Linked DNA regions of Lonchura striata. The protein of the gene in region 2 binds, or shares a complex with, the protein of the main gene of each other region. Links are inferred from orthologs where the notes say so. Each region holds a gene or a part of one and is shown on either strand. Other genes may lie near its edges.

Region 1 (3,750 bases), on a different chromosome or scaffold from region 2:
TGGTTTTTCATCCTCCTTTGTTTTGCTTCTCCTCAGCTTAATTTCTTATGCAGATGTACAGAGCTCTGTGTGATGAAACCCTGTAATGAGCACCTGTTTTTTTACAGCCTGAATGAGTAGAGACACTGACAAAACAAATTTGGAGGGACTTGTGTAGACCTAACAGTAGAGTTTGGGTTAGAAAACTGTATGGATCCTCTACTCTGTTCATATCTAGAATGTCCTAATAGTTATGTGTTTGAGAGTTTGCAATTTCTAATGTACTCAGAGAAATGGATATTTTTTTTTCTCTTTATGTTCTTCCAAGTCCAGGAATTTTTTTGTTATTTTTGTGAGTAAAGACATGGGAGGCGAACTTCTTGGGAATTGCTGAGAGAGAGGTGAGCAAAGCTCAGGATGGAAACATGGGTGGTGGGTGACATTCTCCTGGCTGAGCTATAGAGTAGTGGTATTGGCCCACTGCATCCAAAAGTGTGCATACAGCTGTGGTGTGTGGCACACAACTGAAACATTCTGGTGACTGGTTAGGCTTGAGATATGAAAGGATTCTAAAATATGGAGGCTTCTTTCAAGATAGTTACTAAGGAAAAATCCAGTCCAGAAGCAACAAAGTGCTCCTGGGTGTCTCAGAATGGAAGAACTCTCATTAACCTACTTGGAGCAAGGGGGTGGGTGCCCATGCATGCCTTGTAATTTCATGGCTTCTGTTCTTGGAAGGCCTGATGGTGTGTTTCTTGGAGCAGAGTGTAAGATGAAATACTGCCTTTTGCTAATAGGGTTGGATGACCTGAAATATAGCCACATGGAATATGAGGAAAGGGAGGAGGGGACAGGGTGATTTGTGATGAGTCTTATTGCCACTCAGAACTGACTTTGCTTCTAACTCTCATCTTTGTTTTCAGCACAATACTGAGCAGAGATTTGTTAAGTAGCATGCTAAAATAAAATTGTGGTTTCCAAGAACATTCATATAAGCAAAAGAGTCTCACCTCACTGTAGCTGCCTTGAATGTATTAAAAATCCAATATGTCAGTCTGACTACTTGTGCCTTTCTCCTCAGCTTACCAATTCTGTTTCAAATGCTTTCCTAAAATAATTAGTGGAGCAGAAAGTAGAAGTCCCTGAATAACTGCTGTGATAAAGTGGCAGTGTGTTTAATGTGTAATGACCTATTTGTTCTTTCCCTTAGGTACAATGGCCACAGAAGCCCAGAAGCACTTTTTGGAAGGGCAGACATACTCAGTGCCCCTGATCCAGCCAGACCTACGCAGGGAGGAGGCTGTGCAGCAGGTGGCAGATGCACTTTACTATCTGCAAAAGGTGTCAGGTGATATCTTCAACAGGTAAAGTGCTCTTCTGGAGGGTTGGGTGCTTAGCATTCAGCATTACAAAACAGAGTGCTGTACTTAGGTTGCAGCAGTGAAGGGGAAAGGGCATTGCACTGGTAAGCAACGGAAGTTCAGAAAAGAGATGAAAAAGGACTAGATGCACTTCAATATGAGTTTATTAGATATGAGTCTGTCAAAGTTAAGCATAATAAAATGGCTGCAATTAGTCAGAGATTGTTGGTTATTAATTTTTATTCATTTTTATCAATTAATAATTTTTTATTCCACAAATTGTATTACTGCTTCTGCAGTAATATTCCTTCTTGTTCATGTTTTGAAGGGGAGGCATTGTAATTTAGAGTATCTTGAAGATTTGTCTTTTTGAGTTATTGTACTTGAAGCAGTGAAGTAGAAAATGTCTCTTTGTTCTGATCTCTGCAATGTACAAAAGGTTCTCTTTGGGCTTCTGGTGTTTCACCCTTCCCTTTTTGTGTGTTGGAAGGGTTGTGCCCAGAGTAAGACTGGGTTTCTTGCCACAGTATCATAATCCATTGAAGTTCATCTCTTCAAGGATTTGGTCCAGATTTGGCACCTCTTACATATGATCATCTTTAGGATTAGATCTTTAAGACTGTCAATATAGCAGATCAGAGAGATTCTTGTGTTTGCTTGCAAATGATGGTAGATAACATGGTGTCTTTTTCTGTCCAGTGCCATCTTTGACATCTCAGTGCTCTGAGATGGTGCGGAATATTGTTGGGAAGGAAACAGATCAGCATTTATCTTCTCATAGTCTAATCAGTAAAAGCACATGTTTTGATTTCAGCAGGTCCTATGACTATCTAGGTTAATTTCTTTTGGTGTGAGCAGGGTCATGATATTCTGTCTTTTTTTGAGTTTTGAAAGGTTTTTTTAAGGGTAGATTGAAGTTCTGTGGTTTCTGATAATGACATTTTGAAGGGTAGCCTCTGAAGAAAGAGCAGTCTCTAAGGCTGAGCTCAGGTTATTGAGGGTAAAAAGGTTTTCCACTGGAATAGTGTTTGTTTGGGCAAGGGCTGTGTGTGGGCTGGATTAGGTTGAAGACAAGGTCTACTTCATTTGTGCTCTTCAAAGTAGGGGAACACTTCATGATCTAAGGCTGGGAGAAGGCTTTCTAGAGCTGCCATAAACATGTGGAAAGCACTTCTCAGACTTGGGCCTGGTTGGCAATACTGTCCCTCTCTGTGAGGTAAATGAAGCTCTTGATAGTACAGGAGTTGCTCTTTCTCTGTCTCCATTTTTCCCTGTTTTTTGTCTCCACACTGCTGTCTTAACACAGTACCCTGTGTAATTTCCCTAGGGAGATAAGCTTGCTGCTTTGTATGCAAGTCACTTCTGAGTACTGAGCAGTGACTGTGCTGCTGTTCCCTCACTCTTTGTGCACTCATGACTTTTAATTACCAATTTTCTCCAAAAACAGAGGAGGCTTCATTGGTTTCTTTGTTTGCTTTGCCTTTCCAGTGAGGTCTTGGCTCTCTGATATAATTAAGAGTGATTTAGTAATTATGCAGGCATGTGATGAGAAATTCCATGACCTTGGTTGTGTGGGTGCAAAACCACAAGGGAGCCATGGCTGAAACCTAGAGCATCCCCACTGAACCCAGCCTTGGAGAACAGGCCTGGACTGCAATCAGGAATCATTTAGAGCAGGATACATCAGCTCAGCATCCCTCTCTATCTTAACCCTACCTCTCAGGAGCAGAGACCTGCCTGACTTTTTTACATATGGGGAACATCAAAGCTCTTTGTTGCTGGGCAATAGAGGAGATTGATGTCTTAGGCCAGTGCTGTCCAGCAGTGCCTTCCTCTGAGGAAATCCTGTCCTCTTGGAGCTGATATCAGCGCTATGACAAGACCAAGAGGCTGCATGTCCTTCTCAAGTTTATGCTGAGAAGTAATGGAAGTTTTAAGCTTGTGCGTGTTAACTGAATCCAAGTAATTGATCATTTGTGGAAGCTGCAAAGATCAGATTCATTGCCTGTAGTTACTTAGATATTAATACTGCTTAAAATATAAATATTCTAACATAGCAAATCTGACATAATATCTGTTTGAATTTAACTCCTGGGTTTTTAGGAAGGCTTTTTGATACAGATCACAGGAAGTAGGATGACCAGTTTAAACCCTCAGTTAATGGTAGTCTTTAATCTATTTTTTTTCTCATTACTGGTATGTTCTGGGTGGGAGATTGTGTTGTAATCATGTACCTTGGAGTATTTTACAGGAATGTTGGTGGGATAAGTACTTAAAATAAGTGATGAGTTTAGATTTCCTGATATTCTCTCCTAGTTAGGTAGGCTTGTCCTTCAGGATTTCTCAATTTCTGAGGAGTTTGTGTTGGCAAGAAATGTTAATAATCTCTAATATTGTCTGTTTGCTATTA
Region 2 (3,750 bases):
AAGGCAAAGATTTCACTCTTGAACTAAGTGAATTCCTCAGCTCAGTGGAGCTGTCCATTCTACCTTTCAAGGGAGGGGCACATTCCTCTCTGTAACTGGTTTCACTGCAGTGTTTCTACCGCACTCTTTTCGGCAGGAAGGTCTTCAGTGGGCGCATCAAAGCACTTATCATGTGCAACCTCCAGCCCCTTCACTTCTGGAAAACACAACCAGCAAACTCCGTGATGAATGGGAGACTATCGAGGACACTTTTTTTTTCTTTCAGGAAGTGATGAAATGGTCCAGACAGGATAAAGAACAAGATAACCCTACAGTTTCTATTCCGTTCGCTATTTTAAATATTTGAGGAAATTACCTAAACTTTCTATTCTTCAATGTCTCAATTTCTATTATTATATAGTATTCTATAGAATTCTTCAACGAGTATGAACCAGAGGTAAGAAAAAAGTATTATTTGCTTCTGTAACAGCAGCTCCACAGGTGCCAAGTGCTCTCCGAGCAGCAGGATCAGTGTCCAGCCCGGGCACACTCGGTGATGAGCGCCCACAGGGAGACGGCCGGGCGGGGAGCAAGCTCGCCGAGCAGGGCTCCGGCTCCCAGGGCCTCTGGCCGCCTCCCCGGCCAGGGCCGGCCGCCGGCCAGGGCAGGCCGGGCAGTCCCACACGGACACACGGCCCCGCACCCGCCCGCCGCCGCCCCGGAGCGCTGCCCGAGCCCGCGGAGGGGACGGGGCCGGCGGGGCAGCCCCCCTCGGCGGCGGCGCTGCTCACCTCGTCCCGCAGCCCGGCAGCGCAGCGGTCCCGGCGCGGCCCCGCGCCGCCTCCCGCAGCAACCGCAGGCGGGCAGCGCCGGCACCGGGGCGGGCGGAACCGCCTCATCAGCCGGCGCCGTCATGTGACGGGAGGGCTCGGCTACGACACAGGGAGCGCCGCCGCCTCCCTCCCGTCCTTCCCACCCTCCCTCCATCCTCCTGAGCCCGCAGCCGTCCCTGCCCGCTGGCGCTCCCGGGCGGGGCGGGCGGGGTGGGTGCCGGCGGGAGCCGCCGAGGGAGCGGGGCCGCCTGAGCGCAGACTGTGAGTTCGGCGGTGGCGGAGCGGGACGGGACGGGACGGGACAGAACGGGACGGGACGGGACAGAACGGGACGGGACGGGACAGAACGGGACGGGACGGGACAGAACGGGACGGGAGCGGGTTCGGAGCCCGTCCGGCCGCTGCCGCCCTGGAGCCGCTGTGCGCCCTGCGGAGCGCAGCCTGCGGCGGCACTGGGCACCTGGGGGGGCTCCGGCCGCTCCTTCTGGGTCAGAACTGCCTTGGGACAGCGCACTGTCAAATTATCGTAATGCTCCAGAAAGTGTTTGGTGAAAAGTCAAGCCTGGTCATAATTTTCCATAGGTGTTTTTGAAGCACAGACGCTTATTTTTGGCGCTGCACGCCGTGTCCCGCAGGAGACGCGTGAACGAGTAAAACTGAGCAGGAAATGCAAGCACAGCATGGAAGCTCGTCCTTTAGCAATAAATAATGAACGGAGCTCTGTCATTTCCATTTGCTATGAAAGTTTTCCTTATTGCTAAAGCCCTTATGATCACTTCGGTTGACTTTTTAAAGTGAATCTTAAAAACACATTTTGTGAAGTGACTTTGCTTTCCTTGGGCCCAATCTCCTCGCCTGGTCATAATTGCTTCACTATTTGTGACTGTTTCATTTTTTAATAGTGTTCTTCAACTGTTCTTCAAAAGATCACACTTCCCCTGCCTGCTCAAACAGTTCACTTCTCAAACTAAGTGTACGTGCTGAAAATGAATTCTGTGCATTTTTTCATTTCAAAAGCTGTGGATAATTTAGATTTCATAATTTGAAAGATTGGAGAGTATGCTTAAATATCCACAAATTAAATTATCAGAAACATGAATATAAACCACGCTGGATGTGTGTGGGTTTGTTTTTACAGGTTATTAATGGCGTGGCTGGTCTCTTCATCAGGCTTTCTGCTTCCAGTAACCTAAAGAGTAAGGATCAGAATCAGACTGCAGGACTTCTGCTGCTCTGTCACACTGAGCTCCACAATGGTGGATTTTCTGGCTGAAAACAATCTCTGTGGTCAGGCAATTCTTCGGATTGTTTCCTGTGGAAATGCCATCATTGCAGAACTTCTGAGACTTTCCGAATTTATTCCTGGTGTTTTCAGACTAAAGGACAAGGCTGATCAGCAGAAGTATGGAGATATCATATTTGATTTCAGTTATTTCAAGGTAAATCCTTTTATTGTTAAACTTCTCCTTAAAGCATTGCTGTCCAACATGAGGATGTTTTAGCTTGTGATACAGCCATTCCTGACTATTGTGTTTATTACTATTACATCTTCCAAAATGTTTGATGTGTCATCTGGCTGTGAATTTTGATAGATATCAATTATATAAGACATGAGTCTTGGATTCTGGGGAGGTAGTAGTAGTGGCACTAGTAGTAGTGGTAGTAGTGGTAGTGGTAGTAATTCCTGCAGGACCACTAAATTAAACTTCCTCCAGCAGGTTCTGAGGCTGCATGGTTGTTTGTTTCCCTTCAGAGCAGTGCCGTGGGCAGCATGCCCATCTTTCTTCTGTTAATCTGTAGCTTATTCTTTGCAGCCATGAAAACTGCTTTCTGCTTTCCTGTCTGACAGTGCTGTGATTGTTCTTCCTCTGGACTTGTCACATGCACTGAATAAATAAATAAATAAGTCAAGGAGAAGTGTCCATGGAAAGCCCTTATTTCTCTTTCAGAATTAAGCTTTTAATACAAAATTCCCTCTGTCGTTTTCCACCATGATTAAGAAGGAACAACAGAGACTGTCTAATCTGACTTTATTTGGACTGTCCAATACAAGAAATGTTAATAATAAAGCAAGGGAGGCACTTTTAAGTCAATTTGATTGTAGTAGGAGTTGTAAATTTCAGGCACCATGAGGTTTGGATACTGAAAATCCAGAGCACAAATGATTTCACAGTTACCTTTAGATCTAGGTGTTTGGTAGAATTTTTTTTTTTTTTTTTTGCACAAATTACTTAAAAGTCTAAAAGCAGATAGCTGTAATTGGTAAGAAATACAGTAATCCTTAAAGCCTCAGTAAATTTGAATGTTAAGAAAGCATAAGTGTGCTGTTTTTCATCATTAAAATCAAATAAATCCATAGAAGTCATACTGTTAAAGCAAAGATTAGAGAATTTGCAGATATTTTTACTGCAAATGCACCCCTTCTGTATTCACAATTCTTAGAATTACTTCTGAGGAAAGATTTGAGATTTGAAAAGTTGAGACTAGTTACTTTGTCCATTTTAACTTCATAGGCAGTTTGGCACCTGTTTTTATCCTTTGTTTTATGTAGATATTTTGCACAGAAAGAGAAGCAAAGAGTATTTTTAAAAACTCAAATTGTCAGCTGGATATTTTCAATTGCATTTTAATAGTACTTCCAATTAAACTTTAGCATTATTTTCCTTTAGTTGGTGATGCTAATACTGCGTGGTGCTTATGAGAAATACGACAGTGGTAAAGGGCTAGAAAAGTTGTATTATTGCTTTAAGGAAGTCAGGTTCTTCATCCCAAATCTTTTTCCCCCATGATTGTTAATGACAAAGTGTCTGCATTAATTCAGGAGACAAGTACTGTCTACACATGTAGAGTGTGGAAAAAACATGTCTAATATTTTGAAGCAGTTTGAATATATGAGAAGATACTACGCTTTCTGAGCCCTCAATGTTGTGGTTTCTAT

Evidence for each region. Proteins that work in one complex are often made in the same cells at the same time.
Region 1: WASHC5 (region 2) and WASHC1 share a complex: the UniProt entries of both Homo sapiens proteins name them as parts of the WASH core complex. The link is inferred for Lonchura striata from reciprocal best matches to the Homo sapiens genes WASHC5 and WASHC1.

What each region holds. Positions count from the first base shown.
Region 1 is NC_134607.1:11,556,405-11,560,154, reverse strand, and holds the start of WASHC1 (WASH complex subunit 1), read left to right. Parts: upstream 1-1,164; coding exon 1,165-1,343; intron 1,344-3,750. UniProt on the Homo sapiens protein: Acts as a component of the WASH core complex that functions as a nucleation-promoting factor (NPF) at the surface of endosomes, where it recruits and activates the Arp2/3 complex to induce actin polymerization, playing a key role in the fission of tubules that serve as transport intermediates during endosome sorting.
Region 2 is NC_134603.1:11,868,896-11,872,645, forward strand, and holds the start of WASHC5 (WASH complex subunit 5), read left to right. Parts: upstream 1-918; 5' UTR 919-1,073; intron 1,074-1,950; exon of another isoform or gene 1,951-1,982; 5' UTR 1,983-2,065; coding exon 2,066-2,251; intron 2,252-3,750. Other genes in the region: NSMCE2 (E3 SUMO-protein ligase NSE2), read right to left, coding at 771-878. UniProt on the Homo sapiens protein: Acts as a component of the WASH core complex that functions as a nucleation-promoting factor (NPF) at the surface of endosomes, where it recruits and activates the Arp2/3 complex to induce actin polymerization, playing a key role in the fission of tubules that serve as transport intermediates during endosome sorting.